Linked DNA regions of Drosophila melanogaster. The protein of the gene in region 1 interacts with the protein of each later gene in a pairwise test. Each region holds a gene or a part of one and is shown in the gene's direction. Other genes may lie near its edges.

The links.
Region 2: the proteins of MESK2 (region 1) and CG12963 interact in a two-hybrid assay, tested with the Drosophila melanogaster proteins (one large-scale study listed by BioGRID).
Region 3: the proteins of MESK2 (region 1) and gnu interact in a two-hybrid assay, tested with the Drosophila melanogaster proteins (one large-scale study listed by BioGRID).
Region 4: the proteins of MESK2 (region 1) and nito interact in a two-hybrid assay, tested with the Drosophila melanogaster proteins (one large-scale study listed by BioGRID).

What each region holds. Positions count from the first base shown.
Region 1 is NT_033778.4:21,500,419-21,505,123, forward strand, and holds the start of MESK2 (misexpression suppressor of KSR 2), read left to right. Parts: upstream 1-1,678; 5' UTR 1,679-2,061; intron 2,062-4,705. Other genes in the region: TAF1C-like (TATA box-binding protein-associated factor RNA polymerase I subunit C-like), read right to left, coding at 1-1,127.
Region 2 is NT_033778.4:15,555,772-15,562,966, forward strand, and holds CG12963 (uncharacterized protein), read left to right. Parts: upstream 1-1,903; 5' UTR 1,904-1,940; intron 1,941-2,014; 5' UTR 2,015-2,094; coding exon 2,095-2,163; intron 2,164-2,236; coding exon 2,237-2,399; intron 2,400-2,498; exon of another isoform or gene 2,499-2,557; coding exon of another isoform or gene 2,558-2,635; intron 2,636-2,702; coding exon of another isoform or gene 2,703-2,817; intron 2,818-3,465; exon of another isoform or gene 3,466-3,749; coding exon of another isoform or gene 3,750-3,951; intron 3,952-4,088; exon of another isoform or gene 4,089-4,149; coding exon of another isoform or gene 4,150-4,227; intron 4,228-4,326; coding exon of another isoform or gene 4,327-4,432; intron 4,433-4,660; exon of another isoform or gene 4,661-4,685; coding exon of another isoform or gene 4,686-4,751; intron 4,752-4,821; coding exon of another isoform or gene 4,822-4,885; exon of another isoform or gene 4,886-5,125; coding exon of another isoform or gene 5,126-5,342; intron 5,343-5,404; exon of another isoform or gene 5,405-5,434; coding exon of another isoform or gene 5,435-5,509; intron 5,510-5,591; coding exon of another isoform or gene 5,592-5,646; intron 5,647-6,043; coding exon 6,044-6,453; 3' UTR 6,454-6,665; downstream 6,666-7,195.
Region 3 is NT_037436.4:14,801,859-14,805,232, reverse strand, and holds gnu (giant nuclei), read left to right. Parts: upstream 1-1,872; 5' UTR 1,873-1,973; coding exon 1,974-2,001; intron 2,002-2,059; coding exon 2,060-2,754; 3' UTR 2,755-2,853; downstream 2,854-3,374. Other genes in the region: NHP2, read left to right, coding at 3,143-3,374.
Region 4 is NT_033778.4:7,960,569-7,968,488, forward strand, and holds the start of nito (spenito), read left to right. Parts: upstream 1-1,894; 5' UTR 1,895-2,035; intron 2,036-2,200; 5' UTR 2,201-2,274; coding exon 2,275-2,825; intron 2,826-2,883; coding exon 2,884-4,714; 3' UTR 4,715-4,758; exon of another isoform or gene 4,759-6,172; intron 6,173-6,209; exon of another isoform or gene 6,210-6,270; coding exon of another isoform or gene 6,271-6,436; intron 6,437-6,490; coding exon of another isoform or gene 6,491-6,690; intron 6,691-6,750; coding exon of another isoform or gene 6,751-6,831; intron 6,832-7,057; coding exon of another isoform or gene 7,058-7,126; exon of another isoform or gene 7,127-7,149; intron 7,150-7,317; coding exon of another isoform or gene 7,318-7,440; exon of another isoform or gene 7,441-7,456; intron 7,457-7,560; exon of another isoform or gene 7,561-7,920. Other genes in the region: Septin5 (septin 5), read right to left, coding at 1-1,081; CG14763 (uncharacterized protein), read right to left, coding at 6,271-6,436, 6,491-6,690, 6,751-6,831, 7,318-7,440. UniProt on the Drosophila melanogaster protein: RNA-binding protein that acts as an associated component of the WMM complex, a complex that mediates N6-methyladenosine (m6A) methylation of mRNAs. M6a modification plays a role in the efficiency of mRNA splicing and is required for sex determination.

The sequences.
Region 1 (4,705 bases):
GAGTGAACGCCGCTGGCAAAGCAGGGATTCAGAGGCAGATTGCATCGCACATCTACGGTAAACAAAACTGGCTGTGTTAGGCAGTGAAAGGTGCTTTCCTCTGCTTGCTTTAACTGTGCCCAGGTACTCGAGGTTTTCTTCAGTCCTTTTAGCAAGCAAACATCAAGCTTGGCTATATCCTGTTGTGTCGAAATATCCACGAAGCGCAAAGACCTATCCTGGCTAGCTAAGGCCAATGTATTGGCATTGGCCAATGATTGTGCAGCGCTTGTAAAAGGAGCTACTTGACTGCTAAACATGCAATGGCGAATGAGTTCGTAATCTGAATCCGAATCCTGTTCGTCTTTGCATTTAAGTTCGTATAGGGAAACCTCCTTCAGCAACCGTGCCAGGAACATTTGACTGCGATTTAAATTGTGGAGCGGAAGAAGTTCAAAGACTTCGCTGGAGGATTCCTCTATCGTAGCCGAATGCAATGGTTGCCAAAACTCCGCCTCACCATAATCTCGGGAAAAGTGCAAATCTCTGAGCTTATTACCGCTGACATGCATGGCCAGCTGATCGTTTCCATCAAACGGAATCGTGTTTAGGTTTCCGCCTGTGTAGTAGTAATCGTAGCTGTCCCTGAAGAAGGAATTCTCCTGTTGGGCTATGTGCTCAGCCATCTCAAACAGACTGGCATCGTGTACACCTTGCTCCTGCTTCTGTACACGCTGTCTCATATTTTTAAGTCGCCTATCAAATATAGCCTTGCCTAATTGCAATTGCCGTGTCCAATCGTCGTAGCGGAATGGCCTTTGGACGCATGCCTCCACTCGGGGAGTTTGTCCATCCTTTGCCAGGAAGAGGGGTAGCGGCACCGTAACCGAGCAATTTGGCAAGTCCTGCTTCGGATTATCCTGATGATCGTACAAGAGTTGGCCCAACATTCCAGTGTTCAAGCCGGGATAAGAGAAGTGCGGCGCATTTTCCAAAATGCTGCGCAGATTATCTGGCTCATTGTTATCCTCAGCATCTTGATCCGGCGGAAGATCATCTTCGGAATCGGATTCGTTGTCACTAGTTTTGGTCTTGACCTGGGCACTGTATTTGGCCGAATTGAGAGCTGTTTGATAGCGTCGCGGCATGTCTGTAATTGGAGTATAAATAAGAAATCGGATTTTGCTAGCTGGCCGATGTGTTTTGATGCATGTGAGCCTGGCTTACGGATTTCTTCGATCAGCTATCCAGTTCTGCACGAAAGAATTTAGTTAACAAATTGAATTTGACTCAATCAAACGCCAAACGCACGACGTTTCCTCTGGACGCAAGAAACAGCTGATTAGTGATGGGTATTTATGTCTACCCAACCGCATGCTTGCTGTTATGAGCATTACAAGCAAAATATTCACAATATATTAAAATAATATAGGTTTTGGATTATCTATTACATTACATTGGAAGTGCAAAAATGTAACATTGAAAAAAAAAGCATCGTAAAATACCTTTTTAAAGAAATGTAAAGGTTTTAGACACCAATAATAAGTAACATTTACATTTTTAAGTCAAAAATATTTAAGAATCCGATGTTTTGATAAGCGACGATGTATCGCTGGTCGGCGATACTATTTCTAAAATATCGGCTAGCTCGATAGCACCTATATGAAAACATCGATTCCCGATGCATCGATGTTTCTCCCCATCACTATCAAATTTGCTTTGCGCTGCATCGAGACCGAGAATTAAAGACTTGAAAGCAGCTGGAGAAATTACAAGAAATTGATCCCCGAAAATTACTGGCAATCGCGAACAGCGGGCGTGTGTGTGTGTGTGCGTGCGCGCGAGAGCGAGAGAATAAGTGAATGAAACAGAACGAGCACAGAAATTACACAAGTTGTAAAAGAAAAGGTGAAGAAAAAAGTTGGTCGAGACCGAATATTGATTTTTTCATAGACAGTGCAGTTAAAACAACGGTCTCTTTTTGTTAGCCAAAAAGAAGGCGTTGGTAAAAAGCGGTAGTAGTTTTTATCTCAATTTTGAGGCCTACAAAAGAATAGAAGAAAAAGCAACGGAAAGCGTCAGGTGAGTTTTTTAAATCCAACCACGCACACACCTGCACTCACACCTACACTACCGCACACAACGGGCACAATTAACATACATACAAGTGCCAAACAGACAACAAAACAAATGCCAATTGGAAAGGTGTGAAAGAGAGGGGCGGGTCTGGAAGATAACATTAACCAGTTCTAATCCTACTCCCCTCCCTCTCGCTCCGCTTGCATTTGTTTTGTTGCAGTTATCTATTACTCTTCCCTCTCTCTCTCTCTCTCTCTCTCTCTGTCTTATCCTGTCTCTCTCTCTCTGCGCTCGCCCCCATTAAAAAGAAAAGAAAACACACTGCCTCATCTAAAACTTTTCATTTGCATCCCAGTATCTGTTTTTCAATTAGCACTATTGTATATTTTGCGCACTCTTCTTTTTACTTAGTTAACAGTTAGTTGTTGTATGCACGTTTTTGTCGTTGTTGTTCTTGTTGCTCGCCATATCTGTACTAATTCATCCATTTATGATGTTCGTTTTTATTCGTTATTCGTTTTTTTTTTGTGTATGTTTGGCTTTGGTTTCGTTTGGGTTTTCCTCGCTTTTCCTAACTGCTAATTTTTGACAAAACCCAAATGGCTTCTGGCTCTGACGTAATGGACCCCTGCTGCCCTCCCCTTCGCTCCATTCCGTCTCTCTTCCTCTTTATCGCTCTCCCTCTCTCGGAGCTGGCGCTTTTCCACTCTAAACGACCTCCAGAAAACTTCGCCGCAATCATTTCAGCAGCTGCCACAGTGAAGCCTGTGTGCTGAAAACCAAGTTATGCCAGTAAAAAAAAGTGCGGTTGCATGTTGTCCTGGGATTCTAAATTAGTAGGTTTCCTTGATTCCTACACCTTTTTTCCATATTCTGAATTGCAATTAAGTTAAATAAGAAATTTGACGATCTAGGCAATTCGCAAAAAAACCTCAAATCAACTTCGAGTTGATTTTCTAGACAATAGTCGACCAATTTTCCTAACTAAACAAAGGAAAAGCGAAATGGAATAATGGGGTTGTTCATTAAAAGCGACTTGACTGTTATCTCTAATAGTTGCCCTAATTGGTTTACCTATTGGCAGTGTTTACTGTTCCTGCAGACATTTGTTATTCGCTGTTTTGTGAAATTTTATTGCTTCTAGCGGTTTTTGGGTGTGGAAATGAATGGGTGAGGACTCCACTTTAACGGCTCTACTGTAACCTGTCGGCGCCATCGCCATGGACAGGATTTCGTCTCGTCCTCCTGAGTATCTGAGTCCAGTACATACATGTATGTATACGTATCTATATCTGATGTTTAACTTTCCTGCATGTTTAATGCGTAGGTCAGTTTACTCAGAAGGCAAACACAATAAAAAGTTCGCCGCACAAATTGCTTTTGGCGCCTTGTTGCTGCTCCTGTTGTTGTTCTTGTTGTTGTTGTTGTTGACGCTCTTGTTGGCCACTCAGGTGTTTACCAACTTCCCTGGCACCTTCTCCCTTTTCTGCCCTTGGTCTGCTGCGGCTCTGTTTTTATGTAACTTTCAAATCGATTGCAAACACGTAACAGTAGGGCAACCTGCGCCGCCCCTCATTGCCCCACCGTGCCACGCCCCTAGCCTCCCACCTACCCAACTGATATTCTCCCATATCCTGCAACAACACGCTCTGACGTTGAGCGTGTGATTTGGTTCGTTTCGGCTGTACGATTTTTTTTCCTGCTGGCCTGCGGCTTGACATAGCGTGACATTTCCTGTATGTGATTTGCTGCCGTTGTCGGTGCCCCAGAACCCCTGCCACGCCCCCTACCGATGGGGTATCTTGTCTCTCCGCCCCCCAAAGAACATTTGAATAATTTCTGTTTTGCAAATTTGTACCCCCTCCCACATCGGAGGCGATATCCTTGAAGGACTCGGACAAATTGCAGTCAATACAATAGTTGAGCAAGTATTTTTAGGGGCAGCAGAGAACTTGTTGTTAGCCACCTTCCAAGGAAATCGAACACTGAAAGATCTTACAAAAAACAAGAGCCATTAAACGTATTAAATGATAATTTAACAATGAATTATGTATGTAACTACAGCAGACTTCCTTTAAAATTATCTCTTTTCACGTCTAAGTAGAAAAAGATACATTTAAAGCAAATCAAAAGCTCAAGGATTATGTAAATCACTTTTGTTCTCAGAAGAAAAAAAATCGTAATTATTTAGTCTTCTGAGTCGGTAAATCCGAAGTAGCATTGAATCCCAATCAAGTACACAGTTCAGCAGTAGATTGAGTTCAGATTGCTGTCTTGAGCTTCGGTTTGTTGTTGCCCGTTGACCTGCCAACGGTTGCCGTGGGCGACCTGCCAAATTGTCGATATTCCGTGCGCTCCTTTCGCTCCGGGCCGGAAAAACGGAAAAGCCAGGGCACGTCGTTCGCCTGTCGCCGTCCCACTCTAGCCGATGGCTAATTTCAATGGCTCCACGCTGCTTGCACCTCAAGCTCCTCCTCTGCACTCTTCACGTGCAATCGCAATTATGAATAATTCGCCATAAATGGCACACGCTGGGCTGCAATTATTGGAATTGAAGTGGCCCAGATGCCGCTGATAAATCGCTTGCCACCAATAAGCCTATAGTACATTATACATTACTACATTATATGTACATATATATGTAGAA
Region 2 (7,195 bases), 5.9 Mb from region 1:
CTTGTTCCGCGAGGACTGCCAAAGTCATGGGTGCAGAGTTCAGTTCGTTTTCCGTGGTGCTTCTGGTCATCATTCTCATTATAGTCGTGAGTAGCTAACGCTCGAGCCGGAAGTGGGCACTACATGATATCCGTTTCTTTATCCCAAAACAGTTCCTTTCGAATGCCTACCACAAGGCCAAGAGAGCTGGCCAGAGCAGTGATTACAGGCCTAGATCGGAGCGGACCAACGACACACGAAATGGTGAGAGGGAGCTGTATAGTACACAAATAGGCTTAGAGATACAGTTGATAACTAACTCGTAACTGGTCGCACATGCCAGGTTTATTGCCTTTGGCTATAATTAGCTCTGATTTGCTTATCTGATAGCCCAGCAGAATTACCCAAGCTGTCAGGTTGATGCAACGCTGACTTTATCTTTGTTTATCGAAATAGCTTTATCACAATTTTCCCGGGTCTTAATTTCGTATTCCCGTGGTCCTCGACTCATTTGCTGCCACACATTTCCCAGACTCGGTTCAAAATGGATCTCGTCGAGGTGTATTACTTTATATCCTTCATTCTGATATTCCTTATTTTGATAAGGGTGAGTGTGGCTGGTTTATCCTCCTGTAGAATTTTGCCTAATTCAACATTTATTAAGGCCTATATCTGTCCCAATCACAAGTGGAAGTGCGTCTGCTGCCTGCAATATCGGCACGAATCTGGTGAGTTTATCCAAGTAACTCCGCTTCTATTAGTCAAGTCTTCCAAATTAGTTTGAGAGAATCTATTGTTTTTTTTTTTTTATCAAAATCACCAGCTAGGGTCCAGTTGGGTCCAATGTATGTAGGGGTCTGCTTCTTTGCATTTATAGTGCTCATTCTCGTATTGCTACTCGCTCGGGTAGGTTGAAATCTCAACGTTGATTAGATATCATTAGTCAAATCACCCCAATCCCAAGGAGTGCTATCTGTTCATCAAGTTGAAGATCGACGAGTGGAATATGCGGGTTTATGCCCGACTTTTGCGCCATGAGATGATGTTGCGCCTGGCCATGGAAGGTAAGATCCAGGCTTTTCTGGCTATATAACTTGGCGAAAAAAAGCTGCAAAAGCTTTGCCGATAAGATAATGCCTGTTATTCGATGGGGGTTCTCCAAGATATGGGCCAACAACTTGAATCGCATTCTACGTCGTTTCTCGAAAAATACCCAACAGTCTTATTTAATCCATCTCGAGAAATGGAAGCGATCGACATATTCTACATTTCACTATTATTTTTCCTGGTGTTTGTTGTAAGTCTGCACTTTCAAAATCAGGAATATATCTTAATGTTCCTCTAACAGCTGAAGAGCACACACTAGCTTCACATATTTTGAACATATTTCTAAATATTTATATAATCCTGTAAATTCTGAGAGTCCTTTGCCACTTTTCTGTGGGGTATATTCCTGATTTTCAAAGGCATTTCGGTTGTTTTTGCTTTTATAGTTGTGCTACAACGTGAGGAATAACATGAAATCAGGGAATTCCCATGTCGGGAGTAATTTATCTCAAGGTGCGTAAGTTAGTAAGCTGTATCACAAATGTTGTAATAACTACTACACTCATATCTCTGGTTTTTCCGTTATTACTTTTGAGGATTGATATACCTTAAATATGCTTATAATCATGACTTTCGTACAGTTCAAGAGCAAACCATACTGTAATAGAGTTATATTCCTGATTTTGATTGGTGTGTTTTATAACTTTAATCACCGTCTTTACCCCCAATAGTTGTGCTACAAGAGCAGAAGGAACATCAACTCCGGGGACTACGATACCGAAAGCTTTTCGGCAGGGGGCCAATCCCCAGGTGCGTAAGTCCCGATTCAGCCCGATTGAGACCACCGATTGCGTTGGCTGTGCGCGTGTATGCCTAGTTTTAATCGCAAAATTGTATGCCGATTGATAAGGGTTGTATGTGCGATTTGGTTTTGTTTGGTGATTAGGCTGTTAGCAATGAGTGGCATTGCCTTTGCCATTTCAGCAAGGTTTCTTGTGCGCGGCGAACGGTGGTAAATCGGTGCTGTTGTCTGTTCTGGACTTCCGGTCTTAAGTTCTCAATTTCATAATGCCCTATTACGCTTTTATGATGATTGGCTGGTTCCTCATAATCTCAATTGTATGCATACTGATTCGAGTAAGTTCTCAAGTGATTTATCGCAAAATTTCAACCCCTGTCTGATGACAACGATCCCCTATTGACCCTGTAGGCTTGTTGTCTGTGCGCCACACAAAAGACTCCTAGTCGAACCAGCTCAAGTGGTCGTGGTCCAGGACGAGGTCCTGGTCCTGGGGAGAATCCAACAAATCGACAGCCCGGAAGGGTTCTGCACAGCTATAGAATCGATCAGTCAGGAGTAACCCTCAGCACAGGTGAGCAGCCATGAGTCACAAGCGTTTTTCGATAAAGTTATCTATGGTGCCTCCCTTATCGATGGGTTCGGTTGTTCGGTTAGATTCCCAATGTTCGACAGTAGCGTTAATTTATTCAGATGTACGGTCGCAGTTCGGCCATATAGATATTCCGCAAAATGGGCGACCAGTTCCGTTGGTGCGAGTTCGGTGTCCTGCTGCTCCTCTTCCTGCTGATTTTATACTTTTCCATCAGTGTGAGTTCTTGGCCCAAAACTAGTGGCTATCAATGCAAATGGAAGTGAATCCGCCAGATAATTGCAGAGATGTGTAGCCCAGAAGCGTCGAAGGAGATTGCCAGTTAGCCCGCCCTTGAGCAGATTCGTTTCCTCGTGTCCCTCGTCGCCGGGATTGAGTAGTCGTCTCAGTTGGACGCCAGGTGAGCAGCTCAGGTGGCCCGCAGTGATTTGTGGCATTCATTTTGATGGCGAAAATGTTCTTCCGCCCTTTAAATTATGTTCCTTTGTCTGTCTACAAATGAATCGCTATGAATTAATTACACATTCAGCTATATTCGCTGCTTTACGCTTGGCTAAAGTCAATGCCTTATAATGTTCATTTACAATAATGGGTTGTAAGACATGAGAAAGAAGCATTTGGTTATTATTCAATGAGTATAAGAAATTACTTAATTAGGAAGATTTCAAAGTGTCAACTGATTTTTTGAACATGGCATTGAATGAATTTAAAGAGAGAAAATTATGAATATATTTCAATACCAATTTTCCATTCGCAAACTAATCGGTTTTCTAAAATATCATATAACATGTTTTTTTTATTAGACACTTGTTTTTCTTTAAGTATACCATGTACAGATAAAAATTTAAATTAAATCTTATCTACCCCAATCTATTAAATAACAGAAAATCTGATAATCAGAATAGTTCTTGCACTGCAAGAAATTTACAATTGTTTATAAAAAAAAGTTTTCCAAACGATCTATATAATTTTCAAGTGCTTGTAGAAGTATAATCTAGAACATTTGATTTATGTGACATTTGCTTCCTTAATTAGTTTCGCGACTTTCGCCTGTCACGTGCCCGGATGACATTATCCAAAGCGTAATTATGCGCATATCTGTCAGATACAGATACTTTTACAGCTGGCACACAGGTAATAGAACGCCGCCCGACTGAGACAGCGATAGTGGCGAGGCGTATCTTATCGGACTCTGTGCGTCGAGCGCTTATCACATGGCCCTTGACACACCTGTCCGCCGCTCCCGCGATCCGCGCTCTTCCCAGTCGCCGATAAGTCTTGGCCAAAAGCTAGCGACGCGCCATATTATGACAGTTGGCCTAAGGCCTTTTCATGGAGCGAATAACATCGCCGGTGCTCGCGTATCCACGTGGATATACCGAATTTTCGGATCACAAAATGTCGAATATACCGCCGTATTTGGTGTTCTTCTTCCTGGCCTTCATTTCCTGTGCGGTCACCTTCTGCTGCCTGAGATTCTGCATTTGGGTGTGCTTCGAGGCCAGGGATTCCAGGAGTCGCAGACGCCGACATGGTACGCTTCATTCAAAACAAGCCAAATTTGACTTATTTTCGGTGGCTATCGGACGGTATATATATAGATACTTGGCCAATCAGATGGGTTTCTTGGCCCAGATAAGATTAGCTAGAAATTCGTTTTGCAGAGTTCTCAGTTTTAACTCGCCATTCAAGTGATTCGATTGTGTGTTTTTTTCTGGCGGGTATTGACACAATGGATTTTTTTATTTTCTATGTGGGGCTGTTCTTTATCTTCTTCCTGATCATGCCCATGGTCTATTTCGCTCTTCAGGTATCTGTCCACCACATTTTTGAACCTAACTTTAAGCGAGGGATATAAGTTTCCTTCCTTAGTCCTTCACTCATCACTTCTTTGATATTCCCCCAAAAGTTTATACTATGGATTATTCTGAACAAGTGCTGTGGAACCAATCCTCGGGGATTTCAAGATCCGGTAAGACGTAGACGTCGACGACAACGTCAACGCCAGCGTACTGGTATGTATTGATGGCTTGAACTGCCTCTGATGGCTTGATGTATTGATGTATTGACGGTTTTATATATGTATTGACTAACTGATACAAACAGTGACTGTGTGTGGGTGGGTTTGATGATCAAGTGCTACCATAAATCCATAAAGCCTAGAGTGTTTGTTTTGTGGACTTTCGTGATAAGCTGATTTCGAACGTCTTGCTAATATTGCAAATCAGTAACTTTGGGGGGTCAGTCTTTTGGAGAGCTCGTTGCAAAATGGAACTCATAGCCACTTTCTTTTTACGCCTGCTGATCGGCATCGTGGCCTATGCAGCCCTACAGGTGATCCTTAGATTCAGCAAATCCCTTCGATGGTGATTGGTAACCAAGTTCTGTTCTTATTCCCCCAAAGTTCGCTGTTGTTTGGATCTTGAAATGCTGGTGTTATAGACATCGAAACCATCGAATAGATTCTCGTAAGTTACACTGGCTTTGGTTTGTGTGTGCAAACCGCCGGACCGTATATATGGTATATCTGATATATGGAGTAACATTTATGGGGTAATGCCAACCAAACATGGCGGACAATCTAATCTTGGGCGACTAATCAATTGCGTGCTGAACGGCGAACTATGGGTAATACTAGTGTCTACAAAACGCAGTTGGTGGCTGTAGTTCGGCATTGATTCCTGCTCCGCGTCGTTCTAAGTCTCATCATGCACGGATCGGAGCCGACATTGGATTGGGGCAGCGGCTTCGGCCTGCACATAGCCATCTATTTGGCCCTGGTGTTCTTCTTTTTCTGCGTACTACCGCTGGCCTGCTACTACATCCGCGTAGAGAGCCAAACTCTGGCAAAGATCTGCCAGCCGCGATGTCGACGTCAGCAGAGGATTCCAGAGCACCATCGTCAGCGATACGGCATTGAAATTGGTAACGTGTGCCAATCCGAAAGTGGGCAGGAAGCCAATCTAATCGGTTAGGTTCGGGCGATTACTTTTTGGCCAGTCTTCGAGAATTGCGGAATGGGTCTGACAGCTAATCTGAGCGTCGCGCTGGGCTTTGTGTTTTGCATGTTCGCGGTGGCCCAGCTTATATACGTATGTAGTTAATCCTGCAAGCTGAGTTTATCTTAATGGCTTTGAAGTAAAGAAGCCCATAACTGATTTATCTATTTGTTAGCTGGCCAAGCGAATGCACGACTCAAGGATTCGAAATCGTCGCCAGATACAAGCTGGTATGGAACATAGCCCATTTGGGTCACACTGGTAGAAATATTATCCTCAAAAGTGTTTATTGTGTGTGTGAAATTTGGAGTGCTAATATGACTAATCAACTCGTTTTTAGAAGCCCATTTAAAATGTGCTTATCAGGTCGTGTTTAGAGCAGTGTTTCCAATTTTAATTAATTAACGAATAACAAGGTTGTTGTGTGGGTTAATCAAACTGCACATATACAAATATTTCGAAGTGTATAAAACAACTCTCCTTTAAATGACATTACCCAAATATCAATATGATGTAATCAAGTAATCTTTAATTAAATTCTTATCATTCGTCCTATGAGTTTTATATGTTTAAAGACTTCACTATTCACTATTCACTACTCACTTATTTTTCTTAACCTATTTTCAGATCGTAATGTATTCAACGCACAGGAGGATCCTTCATCGAACCGCTATGGCGACATTTTCTTCATCGAACCCGGCAGCGTGGAGGCCAACCGCATTCGCGATCAACTGGAAAAGGATGAAAAGGATTTACCCAGCTACGACGAGGTGATGCGCATGTGTAACCTGACCACTCCCACAGCAGCAGCGGCTGGAATGCCTGTTCCCCAATCGCCCCTCGGTGTACCCAGTCCCATTGGAATCGCGGCACTGCCGGCGCCACCGTATTCGGAGACAGATCCACATTCCTCGTCCGCCGCAGAAGCCACTGTCATCGCAATGGAACCGATGGAGCCATCCACCTCCCGCGCGGCACAGATTCCACCCAGCTCCGGATCTGGTCCTCCTGCTCCATTGCCAACGACAGCGGTGTGATCCGTCGGAGGCATGGATAAATTGGAACTGAAGCATTCGCCGTGCCACTCTGGGCCACACAGATGCCACTTTGTGTGCGCTTTCAGTACAGAAATGAACTTGTGTGATCTTATTGAGTACATACCTATTTAAGTTCTAGACATTAGGAGTCGCATATTGTAAATATATATTTTTAGGACATAGGATGAAAATTAAAGTGAATTATTTAATTGAAAATAATGACTTTTAACTTTGGGAAAGTTCATGATTAAGTACAATATAAAAATCGGTTCTTAATGGTAAAATACAAAATAAATTAGTTCTATGAATCATGAAAAATCAGTTCTTATCAAAAATAAATAAGTTCCATAAAGCATAAACTCAGAAATCGTGTAATCGACATTATTTAAAAATGAAAAAGTAATGGTTTCTAATTTACATACGATTAACCGCTGCCACCGTATGGCTATTAACCTTAGATTCAGCAGATTTTAAAGCTTACGGTAGACAAGTTTTATTTATTGTAATTAGTTATCAATATGTGTATATGTTTTTTCATCTTGTATTGAGAAGTCAACAATTATACAGCTAAGCGCAGTGTGAATACCGAGGAAATAAATTATAGGTGGAGTTCAGCAAAACGTTGTAGACTATCACATAGATAAACGGTATTCGTGGGATCTAAAGCTATTTACAGAGAATAAATACACTTGTAAGATTATAATAAATAGTTGTACGTAAGTTCGCAACACAATAATATCCA
Region 3 (3,374 bases), on another chromosome or scaffold:
TATTTTCTTTCGCTCTCTGAATTTTTACGACAGACTACTACGTTGGGGTTTCCACGCTATGGCCAACAGAACTTTTCCAGCTCAGCTTGGTTTGAACTCCGTTAGACGACTGAATCGCTTTGTGCCCAGCCATCGCTATTTTATACGTCCGTTCTCGAGTCGACAAAAAGCTCGGCTTTCCGCTTCGGCTTTCGGGATCGGGGGGCTCTATATATGTATATGCATATAAGTATATATATGTATGGCTAGTGCGCAGGCGCTTCGATGCTCGTGAAAAAAATATAAACACAAAGCAGCTGGCCGAGCTCAGCTGTTTCTTAGCCAAAAGCCGGCAACAACAAGCCCCACATGTGGCCAACTTAGCCGAAAGGGGGGAGTTTATTGGTCGCCAGGGGGGGTGGGGGGTTTGCAAAGCTTCGGCATTGCCGACTGCGCAAAGACAATAATTCCATGTTGTTCTTGCCCACGAAAAACCAAATAAAGCAAGGTAAGCGCCTAAAACCCAAACAACAGCAGCAGCAGCGCCAAAATATCTGTGGGGCTTTAACAGGTGGCAATGTCATGATTTCACAGTACACAAAATAATATATCTTTACATACATAGATAAATATAGATATCTATTTATCTGAAGTCACTGGTTTTGAAAATGGTTCCGAATCTTTAGTAAGTAAGCCTTACTTAAGGTTTCATAAAAAAAATATATTATATAGTAAGAAGTGCACGCTAAGCATTTGACAAAAATAAAATGTATTTATATTTTAGAGCATAACCAATACAATATTACAGTTTCCTAACTATTAATTTGTTTAAATTAGTATTTAGCTGTAATATTTTCTTTTTCATGCATAGCGAAACAATTAATATATGTTTAAATGATTATCAGATGACATGAAAAAGTATTTTTCAATAAATACATTAATTTGCACAGCAAACGACTATTGAAGTAATAAATTACTGTGCAAATTTTATAACAAAATGTAAAATTTTTTATGTTTTATGGTTAGGCATTTTCATAAAAAAAATTGTCAATTTTTACTCCAAGTGCTCTTTATGAATATTGTCATTATTGCACGCAAGAATTGTGAATTTTCGGCGTCATTAAATTAACTTAATTGATTATTTTCGTTAAATTAATTTGCACGTTTTGTGCAACAATTGTTTACATTTTATCGGTTCATCTGTTGACTGCCAATTCGCAAAAAAAAGATTTGTCGCAAAAACTTCGACGCAAAAACCGAAGCAAATCAAATCAAATCGCACCGCAAAAGTAACGACTGAAAAACTGGACAAACTCGCTTTAATTAGAAGCAAAATAATATTATGTAGACGGTATAAAAACGATATTTGGTACTTAGACATGTGAAATGGTAAATATTAATGCGTGGCGAGTTCCTTGAACTTTTATTCTAATTTATTTATTTCACCCAAATCACGAGGGTAAAGTCAGAGATTTAACAATAGCAAAAAAACATGGATATGAATATTCTAATGTGCCAGATTAACGTTTATTCTTAATCAATTATAAACAGGCACAAAAACCTTAACAGAAACAAAACACATTTTTATATAGTTTCTAAACTCTCGAGTTTTTTATGAATTATTTTTACTATTGTAGTTTACAATTAGTTATTAGGCATAATTCTTATATCATATTTTTAAGCACTTTGTGATAGTTGTGACTGTTGTTGAAATTTATTTTCTTGAAAAGAAATATACATATTGTAATTTAGATCTTAAAAACTCATTATATGATCTATTTTTAAGGATCGTTTTTCAGCACTGATCATGGTTCTATGACTAGGATTTTATGAGTTGCCTGATCACAGAATTTTCGGTAATTTTAACCGCTCTTAATGCGGTCGCATTAAAAAAGCAGTTAATTACAGTTAGTTGCATTTTGCAAATCTTATTGCACGTTTTTTTTTGTCGTCTTTTTTGTGCTCGTGGAAAATATTATTTGTAAAATTACCGAATGGAGCGCTACAATCGCGTCTATAGAGGTAGTATTGCTAATACTTTTGTAAACAAGTTTAAAATATATCCTTTAACTTTCAATAGATCCCGCATCCCCACTGACCCCACTCACTCCCCTCTCCACCGAAGCTTTTACATTCGAAGATGTCACGCCCACTGGAGGCGTTGGCAGGAAGGGTACCGCGAGATACGGACTCTTTGGAATGCCGAAGAACAATAATCTTACGGTTCCTAACAGTCGACCGGCATTGTCCGGGTTAAAACGACTATCGGAATCCACTTTGCCCCGTCGATTTTCACAGAAATTTATGCGCACGCGTTCCGTATTTTCGCCCACAAGTCAAAGTACCCTTATAAATGGGGAGACCAGGCTACTGGGAGAATCTGGAGATTCGAAACTACTGAGAACTAAGAGAGAAGACAGACCAAAGCCGGATATCCGACTGCAGCAGGAAACGCGGCTGAGGCAGGAGGAATCCAAGTTGAAAAGTGCGCGAAAGATTAAAGTGGAGGACCCAAGAAGTCCCACTCCCAGTATCCATCATTCACGCTATAAGCCCTGCTCCCCGGTGGAGCACCCCACTTTGAGTCCTCGGGTCAAATCCCTGCTCGATCGCACCGGAAACGCGCATCTCACAGAGCTGTTCACGCGCCAGGAGATCGACATCGAGGTGCTCATCCAAATGACCCTGGAGGACTTGGCGGCACTGGGCGTTCGCGGCGCCCGGGAGATCCGATTGGCCATGAATATTATCCAACTGGCCAAGCAATTCTTCTGATTTTATATCCTGTAGGATTTCTGCTAATTTTAAACTGTTTTATGTCATGTGGATTTGAATTTGTATGTGAGATTTTAATAAATGTTTAATGTGGTCTTGAAGTATTTTTGCGCGGTGATTGGGGCTTGGGATTGGAACTCTATTTTTAATTTAATATTCATTTAACATTAAGTAATAATTTTTCTCAGTGTATGAACTTAGCTAAAAACATTAGTAAAGTCACAAACCATAGAGTAAGTCGCATTAATCCATGTCTGAACGGTATTTATTTTAGTATATTTTTGCGGCACGCTAGTATGCTTCAAAAGTCGATCCGCGGTCACACTGAACACGTGTTTCGAACAAAAAGCCGTTTAAACAAAATATCCACGTTTTTATCAAAAAAGCAATGGGCAAAGTGAAAGTAGAGCGCTCCGAGGATGCCGATGAGTCCGTTGTGGCCAGCGGCGATGTTACCATCAAGGAGGAGGAGTCCTACGACGACAAGCTGATCTTTGTGAACGCCATCGCGAAACCGATGGCAGGTAAAAAACTGGCCAAAAAGTGCTACAAACTGGTGAAGAAGGCCATGAAGCACAAGACTTTCCTGCGAAATGGACTTAAGGATGTACAGACTCGCC
Region 4 (7,920 bases), about 14 Mb from region 1:
GCTCGTTCTCCTTCTGCTTGACCCGCTGAACGAACATTTGGCGCACTTCCTCCTCCTTGGCCTGTAGGCAAGCCAGATGGTCGGATCGCTTCGACTCGAAGGTCTGTTGGAAGGAGACCGGCTGGTTGTTGCTGTCCACGTCCACAAAGCCCATTTGTTGTAGGCGCCGCTGGCGGAAGAGCTCATAGTGGCGTGTGTGAGTCTGTTCGCGCAGATCCTCCATGTTAGTGCGAATGAGCATCTCGCGCAGCTTCACAAAGTCGCAGTGCGCCTCGTTTTCTATGTGCACCGCTCCCCATGGATATTGGCGGGCACGAACCTGCTTTCCGGCCACCTTTACAAACTCCGTACTGCCAACAACGGCAAAGGGTAGATGGCCGTTCATCGCAGCATTTGTTTCGGACACGGTTTCGTCGTCCATGGGAAACTGGTATATGCTCACATTGTTCCGCCGTAGTTCGTCCATTATGCGTTCCTTAAACCCCGACAGCTCCGACTTGGAGATGGTGTCGGCCTTCGCGATCACGGGAATGATGTTCACCCTAGTGTCAAGCTGCTTCATGCACACCAAATCCATAGCTTTCAGACCATGGCCCGTGGGACAGATGAAGTACAGGCAGGCGTGAACGCGTCCATCATGAGCACTGGCCATCGCTCGCTGGATCTTGAGCTCTTCCTGCAAATACGCTTCAAACTGGCTGTCCACGTACTCCACCAAAGCCTTGTAGCTGTCCGCTTTATTAACCTGATCTCCGTATCCGATCGTGTCACAGACGGTCAGCTTCAGGCGGACGTTGCTCTCCTGCAGCTCGTATGTATTTGCCTTCAGCTTCACATTGGGCAGGTTGTGCGGGCTCGGTGTAGATCCAAAACTGGTATTGAACAGTGTGTCCATGAGAGTGGATTTCCCGAGAGCGGTCTCGCCGATGCATAGGATATTGAAGCTAAAGCCATTCTGGACGCTCTTGTTGACCAGCTGGTCCGGTAGGGTGTCGAACCCCACGTGGCCGCCGAGTTGAAGGAGCCTGGGGACTTTGGTTGCCACCTCCTGCGTCTTCTTTTCAGTCACTAAATGAACCATTTCGCCAGTGCTTTCGTTAGAATAATGTCACGACCCAGCGCAGGCGCCACTCTTTATACCCGGAATTCTCGTATGTGCAGCCTGTGTAAACCCTAGTCGTTTTTCTTAATAAGCCATTTGGATTTTCCTGCATCTGGTGGCGTACCGAGAATTAAACTGTATCTAAGAGTTTTCTACCTGTGATTCCTTTTACCTGCAGCCTTGACGATTTTAAATGCGGTGCCCGCCTCAGTTGTCTATCGAGACAGTTCTGCGCGACTATATCGATTAAAGCAGCTTCAACTAACATTTATCAATTGCAGTTAAACAACGATGGATTATTCGATCAAAATGAATTTTATTTATCAGAAAGATAGTCTTGCGACAGTACATTTTATATATGATTTCTGGACTATGACGCCACGGCTGGCTCGAATGAAGTCCCATCTGGACGTATTATATTCGATGACTTTTTCCAACATTTGTGGTCATATATCGGCAATAACACGGCAAATGTTAAGTCGGTCGCGATTTTGAACAGTAATGCCAACTTAAAGTTCTCCACCTCATAAAAAAATCCTTTACAAAACGTATATCGCGTTGTCTTAATCTCGCGTGTTTTAAAGATTTATGATCTTAAAACTTAAAAACTTTTATTGTTATATCTAAGTTCGCCGAAATATATTACAGAAATAGAAACCTATTAAAAACTACATTGAAATTATATATGATTATAACTATGTCATTATATAAAAATGAATCAAACGTTTGGCTATAAAATGGACAAATATGGCTCGATACCATGAACGGGACCATCAATGGCGATAGCAAACACGTATCGTTATCGAATACCGCAGTTAACTTTCGACGCATACAGAATTTGCAAAGCCGGAGGAAATTGAAGAATTTGTGGAATATCCGCGACTTAATAGTAAACTAGCACTTAAAAATAAACATCCAAAAAAGCCGGAAGTGGTAAGAACTCTAAAAACGATCTGAATTGCTCTGATTTTAGAATTTTTCCGCCTAACGCGATTTTCTTTGTTTGCGGGGCGCCGCCATTTTCTTTTTACCTGACCGCCGCTTGTCTTCTTGCATTTCGCCCGTACTTTCACAAAGCAAATCTCGAATTCTTCGCAGAATCCCCGGAACTAAATTGCCAGAAAGTTCTCAGGCAGCACACACCGAGTTAAAGCGCCCCGGAATAGCCGCCCATGAGTAGTCATCGAGACGGAGCCGGAGCCGATCGTATCACAATCAAAATTCACAACATGAAGCGTAGCGCCTCGCGCTCCCCGGGCCCGGCCTCCAGGAGCAGTTTGTCGCGCAACTCGCGAAGCATGGGTCGTGGGTACGACAACGGCAGCGGCGTGCCTGGCGATTCGCCGGAGCGCCTGTCGCCGGAGCGCATGCGACGTCGATTGGACCGCTCGCCGAGTCGTTATGGCTCCCCGCACCGGGAGCCCTACATGCGTGGTCCACCGCCTGCAGAGCGACCAGCTGGCTACAAGGTACTTTGCGTCAGTGCCCTGCCGCCAAAGGCTCCGGACGATTTTATCGAGGAGACACTGTACCGCGAGTACAAGAAGTTTGGCGATTTTAGCGTGCGACTGGCGCACGACTTGGATGAACGGGTTGCTTACGTTTGCTTCCGAACGCCTGAAGATGCACGCGAGGCGAAGCACCATAAGCCGCGCCTGATCATCTACGACAAGATGGCCATTGTGGAGCCGGTGTACAAGTCCACAACCAGACCGGAATATAGGTGGGATTTATTTTTGTATTTATTTTGTTAGCCTTGGCTAATCTAAGATGCTTTGCAGACCACGCGGTCACTCAATGTCCCCACCGGACTATGAACGTTACCACTACTCGAGGTCCCCTATGGGACAAGGCGTTCCTTTGGATCACCGTCGACCTCCGATTGATCCCTACGATCGGTACGGTCCTCCCCATATGCATCCGCACGCAGTCCATCCACGTGATTACCGCCCATTGCATCATGACTATCCTCATCCGCCACGCGGACCACCTTTGCATCGCGGCGGCCATCCGCATCACCTCCATGGCCATGCGCCGCCCCATCAGTATGCTCCAATGAGGCCATTGGCACCACGCCCACACGCTCCCTATGAAAAGCCTGAGAGCAAGAAGGACAAGTTCCCCAATTACTTGCACCATGTGCAGCCCGAGGATGATCCTCTTTCTACGCGCACACTGTTTGCAGGAAATCTGGAGGTTACCATCGCCGACGACGAACTGCGTCGCATCTTTGGCAAATACGGAGTGGTAGATGACATCGACATCAAGCGACCGCCGCCGGGTACGGGGAACGCGTTCGCGTTTGTACGTTACCAAAACCTGGATATGGCTCACCGAGCGAAGATCGAATTGTCTGGACAGTACATTGGCAAGTTTCAGTGCAAGATCGGATACGGGAAAGTGACTCCGGCAACTCGTATGTGGATCGGAGGCTTAGGTGCCTGGACTTCTGTCACTCAGCTGGAGCGAGAGTTTGATCGCTTCGGTGCGATCAAGAAGATTGAATACCAGAAGGGCGAGCCGTACGCTTATATTCAGTACGAGACAGTGGAGGCAGCCACGGCGGCGGTAAAGGAGATGCGAGGATTCCCATTGGGTGGACCGGAGCGTCGACTCCGCACGGACTTTGCCGAGTTGCCCGGCGCCACACCGGCAGCGCCTTTCAAGAGCTCAAAGCCGCCATATGATGAAAGTGCGTTGGAGTACAGACGTCCGGAATACGATCCGTATTACGAAGAGTCCGCCGCCTACGCTCCGCGCGGTGGCTATTCTCCGTATCCACCTAGGGGTGGCTACCGTGGACGTGGGGGATATCGCGGAAGAGGAAGAGGCATGTACCATTATCACAACGACGTGCATAGGCCGCCGCATCCTGGCTCCTTAGCAGGTTCCTCTTCTTCAGTTCCCCCTCCCGGCGGAGTGGAGGATGAGTGGCGACGCCCGCCAGGAGAATCGTACGACAGAGGAGCCCGCTCCAGCTCTCGGGAACCTGGTGTAGAACGCTCTCGTTCTAGATCCCCATTGAAGCGGGCTCGCTCTCCCGGATCTGATTCTGACACCTCGACTCGTCGGAACGACGCCCTTGCATCAGCCAGTACGGTTCCAGATGTGGCGCGCAAGTGCAGCACAGTGTGGACCGGAGCGCTAATCCTCAAGAGCTCACTGTTCCCAGCCAAGTTTCATTTGACGGACGGAGATACGGATATTGTGGAGTCGCTGATGCGCGATGAGGAGGGCAAGCACAACCTACGTATCACCCAGCGACTGCGTCTGGATCCGCCCAAGCTGGACGACGTGCAAAAACGTATTGCATCCTCATCGTCGCACGCCATTTTCATGGGTCTGGCAGGGTCCACAAACGACACCAATTGCGACGATGCCAGCGTGCAGACGCGACCACTAAGAAACTTGGTTTCCTATCTTAAGCAGAAGGAGGCGGCTGGCGTGATCTCGCTGCTTAACAAGGAGACGGAGGCAACTGGGGTGCTGTACGCCTTCCCCCCCTGCGACTTTTCCACAGAGCTGCTAAAGCGCACTTGTCACAGTCTGACGGAGGAGGGCCTGAAGGAGGATCACCTGGTGATTGTGGTGGTGCGCGGCGGAACGGCCTGAGCTGGAGCGGCTGGCGACGGTGGGGATGGGAGGACAAACTGTAGGTAATAACTAGCCACAGTGCTCAAGGAAAATCTCCGCCACATCTAATTATAGCATAGCAGCCGTAGTCGTATCTTAGCTCGTCCTCTCCCAAGTGGAGGACACCCGGGGGCCACATACATGCAAGGGACGTGTATGCGGCTCCTCCAAGCACCGCACACACGCACATACACACACATGATGCACACATACAGAGACAGAAGCAGAACCGAGGAGACTTCACCCACACCTCATGACCCAAAAACCCCGCATTAATTAACCATTAATTAACCTTCTTTTGCAGACAGGATCTCTCTTTTGGTTTTAGTTCAAGTTCTCGATGTGTTAGTGACAGTGAAGTTTATACATCCTTTTCATTATTGTGCTAAAAAGTTTGAAAAATCGTTCATGATTGTATCTAAAGCTACCCATACAAATTATCCAATTTTATTATGTTAAAGTGTACAACAGTATGAAAACAACACGAGTAAAAACAAAAATCAAATATTTTCCATAAAAAAAACTCCATTCGAGTGTCCGCATATGATCAACAACTAGTGCGAAATAATGTCGATGAAAAGTTTTTGTGTTCCTTAAAATTGATTTTCCATTTTGATTTGTGTTACGCTGATGATTTTGCCTTTGCCCTTTCGTTTGTGTTCGATGGCGAGAAGGCAGTGCGACCAAAAGTGCGCCCAGTAGTGGTCTGATTGTCCAGTTGGGTCCAAAATAAGATTGCAAAGTGGCTCCAGAAGTTGTTTGCAGTGCAATTTCCCAATCAGTGCGAAGTGCTTAACTCCAGCTGAGTTTCAGTTCCCCTCGATCTCCAAGAGGTTCTTTGGTGTTTCTGGCCGCTGGGTGCGTGAAAGTGGCTGGCGATTCCATATCGTGTTCCGATCCCCGATCAATATCCGTCTTCCATCCGAAGAGAGAACGTCGTGTAGCATTTGCTCCAAAATGTCTATGCTGTTTGATTTGGTTTGGCAATTGTTACATTGGTTTTCTTGTGGCTGCGCTCAACAGAAGAATAAGAATAAGAATAGTGTTTTGTTTATAATTTATGCAAGCGTTCATGCTACATTTGTTTCAGTGAGTTCAAGTGTCATTCCACGGACCGAGATCAGTTTATACACAATGATAATCCAATCCGAGCAGTTCACCCAGTGCATGTGCTGTGTATGCGTGTGTTCGCAAATCTATTATTTATATATATATATATATATCAATCGTAATATGTACACTCAAAGGTAGTAATAACGATCAAACGCAGTTGTCTTGCATCATTAGACGGATGTTCGAAAGTAATTTATGCTTCAACAAAATATTATATCAAACTATTGTACTGATATCCAAATAAACGACAACTATCGCATCCTACGTGTTAAAAATGTGAGTTGTGAGTTACAGTGCAAGCAAGTGTTTAAGAAAGTGAACCATCTGCTGACCAAAGAAGGTAACGAAATTAAGCACCATTGCTAGCATCAACATCAATTTTATTACCAAGTGGAACGCGCCAGGGCCCTGGAATCGCGTTCTTAATCGTAGTACAGGTAAAAGGTGGTGCAGACTGCAAAGTACGAGGGTCTCTCCACGCTGTAGGTCACAAATCCGTCTTTTTCAGCATCCCACAGGAAGTTGACCATGGAGTAGAGGCCCTGCATCAGGAACTCGCCCACAGTGACCAGCACTATGTAGCGATATCTGGGGCGAAACGGTGGTTAGTTAGACAAAAACTGACCGCCGAACCAAAGTCACCTGTCGTAGTTGTCGAGTTTGATGCGGTTCTTGATTTCCTCGCTCACTTGCGCGGCCATGTGGAGGGAATGCTTGGGATGGAACATGTACTCATCGTTGTAGTGTCGGTTCATCACCGCCTTTATGATGTTCTCCACGCGTTCCTTGTTGAGCGGATTCTTGGACTCCAGGCGGTAGGTGGGCATGAACCGCATGGTGGGCTAGGCATTAAGCAGATCTCAGGGTATAAACACAGCTAGCTGGGCATTTAACGGACTTACCTTGGCTGCCGGAGCACCCATCGGCAAGGAAACGCCCATATGGGACTTGGTCAGCGATCCGCGCTGGCTGCTTGCCGGCCTCTGCATGTCGATGAAATGGGAAACCGAATATGCATGTTAGTTAGGCCACAGCTAGAAGCACAGAGATACCCAAACCCCCAATAGAATCCCCACAAGAAATGGCGTGACTTCGTCAAATTTTAGACGAACCGTATGGTTCCCGTGTTCACATCCCGTTACAAGCATCAATTCATTAAAAAGACATCAATACCCCATTGTAACCATAATGGCAAAATCAATCGTATACCTTCTCACGCTCCTGGCCCAGATAAAGATTCACCAGCCCCGACCAGTTCTTCGCTGCAGCGGCTGCCATTCCTTGCGAATTAATAGAATCGAGTCGGCTCGAGTGCGTAGAGGTTAGCCATAAAACCACAAATGATTATGCCATTAAGTCATTCCCTGCCAGATTACCTGACGGCCTGTCGCCGTGGCAATTCGTGGCGTTTGGCTTTGTTGAATCAATAAAACCAGCCAAATTATGCGCCACTTGTCAGCCCAACTTACCGGCTTAGTGCCCTCGGCCGACTTTTCTTTCTTCTCCTTTTTGCCCTTGCCAGTTTCCGCCTCCTTGGCGGCGGTCTCTGGCACGACATCCTTGCTGCGCCGCTCTTCCGGTGAGTCGCCCATGATCACAATGTTTAACTTGAAATGCTTTTTAGAACTGAACTGGAGCAGAAATATACTAGCCAAGAAGACGAAAGAAAACGACAGCCTGCTAAGATTGTTAAGAAATTGAAAGATCAGCTTACAACAACAATTAGTTTACACTTTATTTGGTTTGCTATATGTGTGGGAATATGCTTCACATTTCGGGTCGGTCTTGCGTTTAAAGTATACATATGAAACATATACACACAGTCAGTAGACAATAATACACATCCATGTTACGATATTTACGTTATTACTGGGTGGTGGTGCTCTTGTGGCCACAAAACATCAATTACATCTATATACACATATTTAAATATAAATATACTCGATACGCTCGGATTCGGTTAAATACACACCTAATAAATTATCTATAAAAAGTAAAACAATAACAGTGCGAATTCTTGGCCACATTTCCTTGTCTTTGTCCTGTTGCTTCCACTTGTTTGAGTCCAGGAC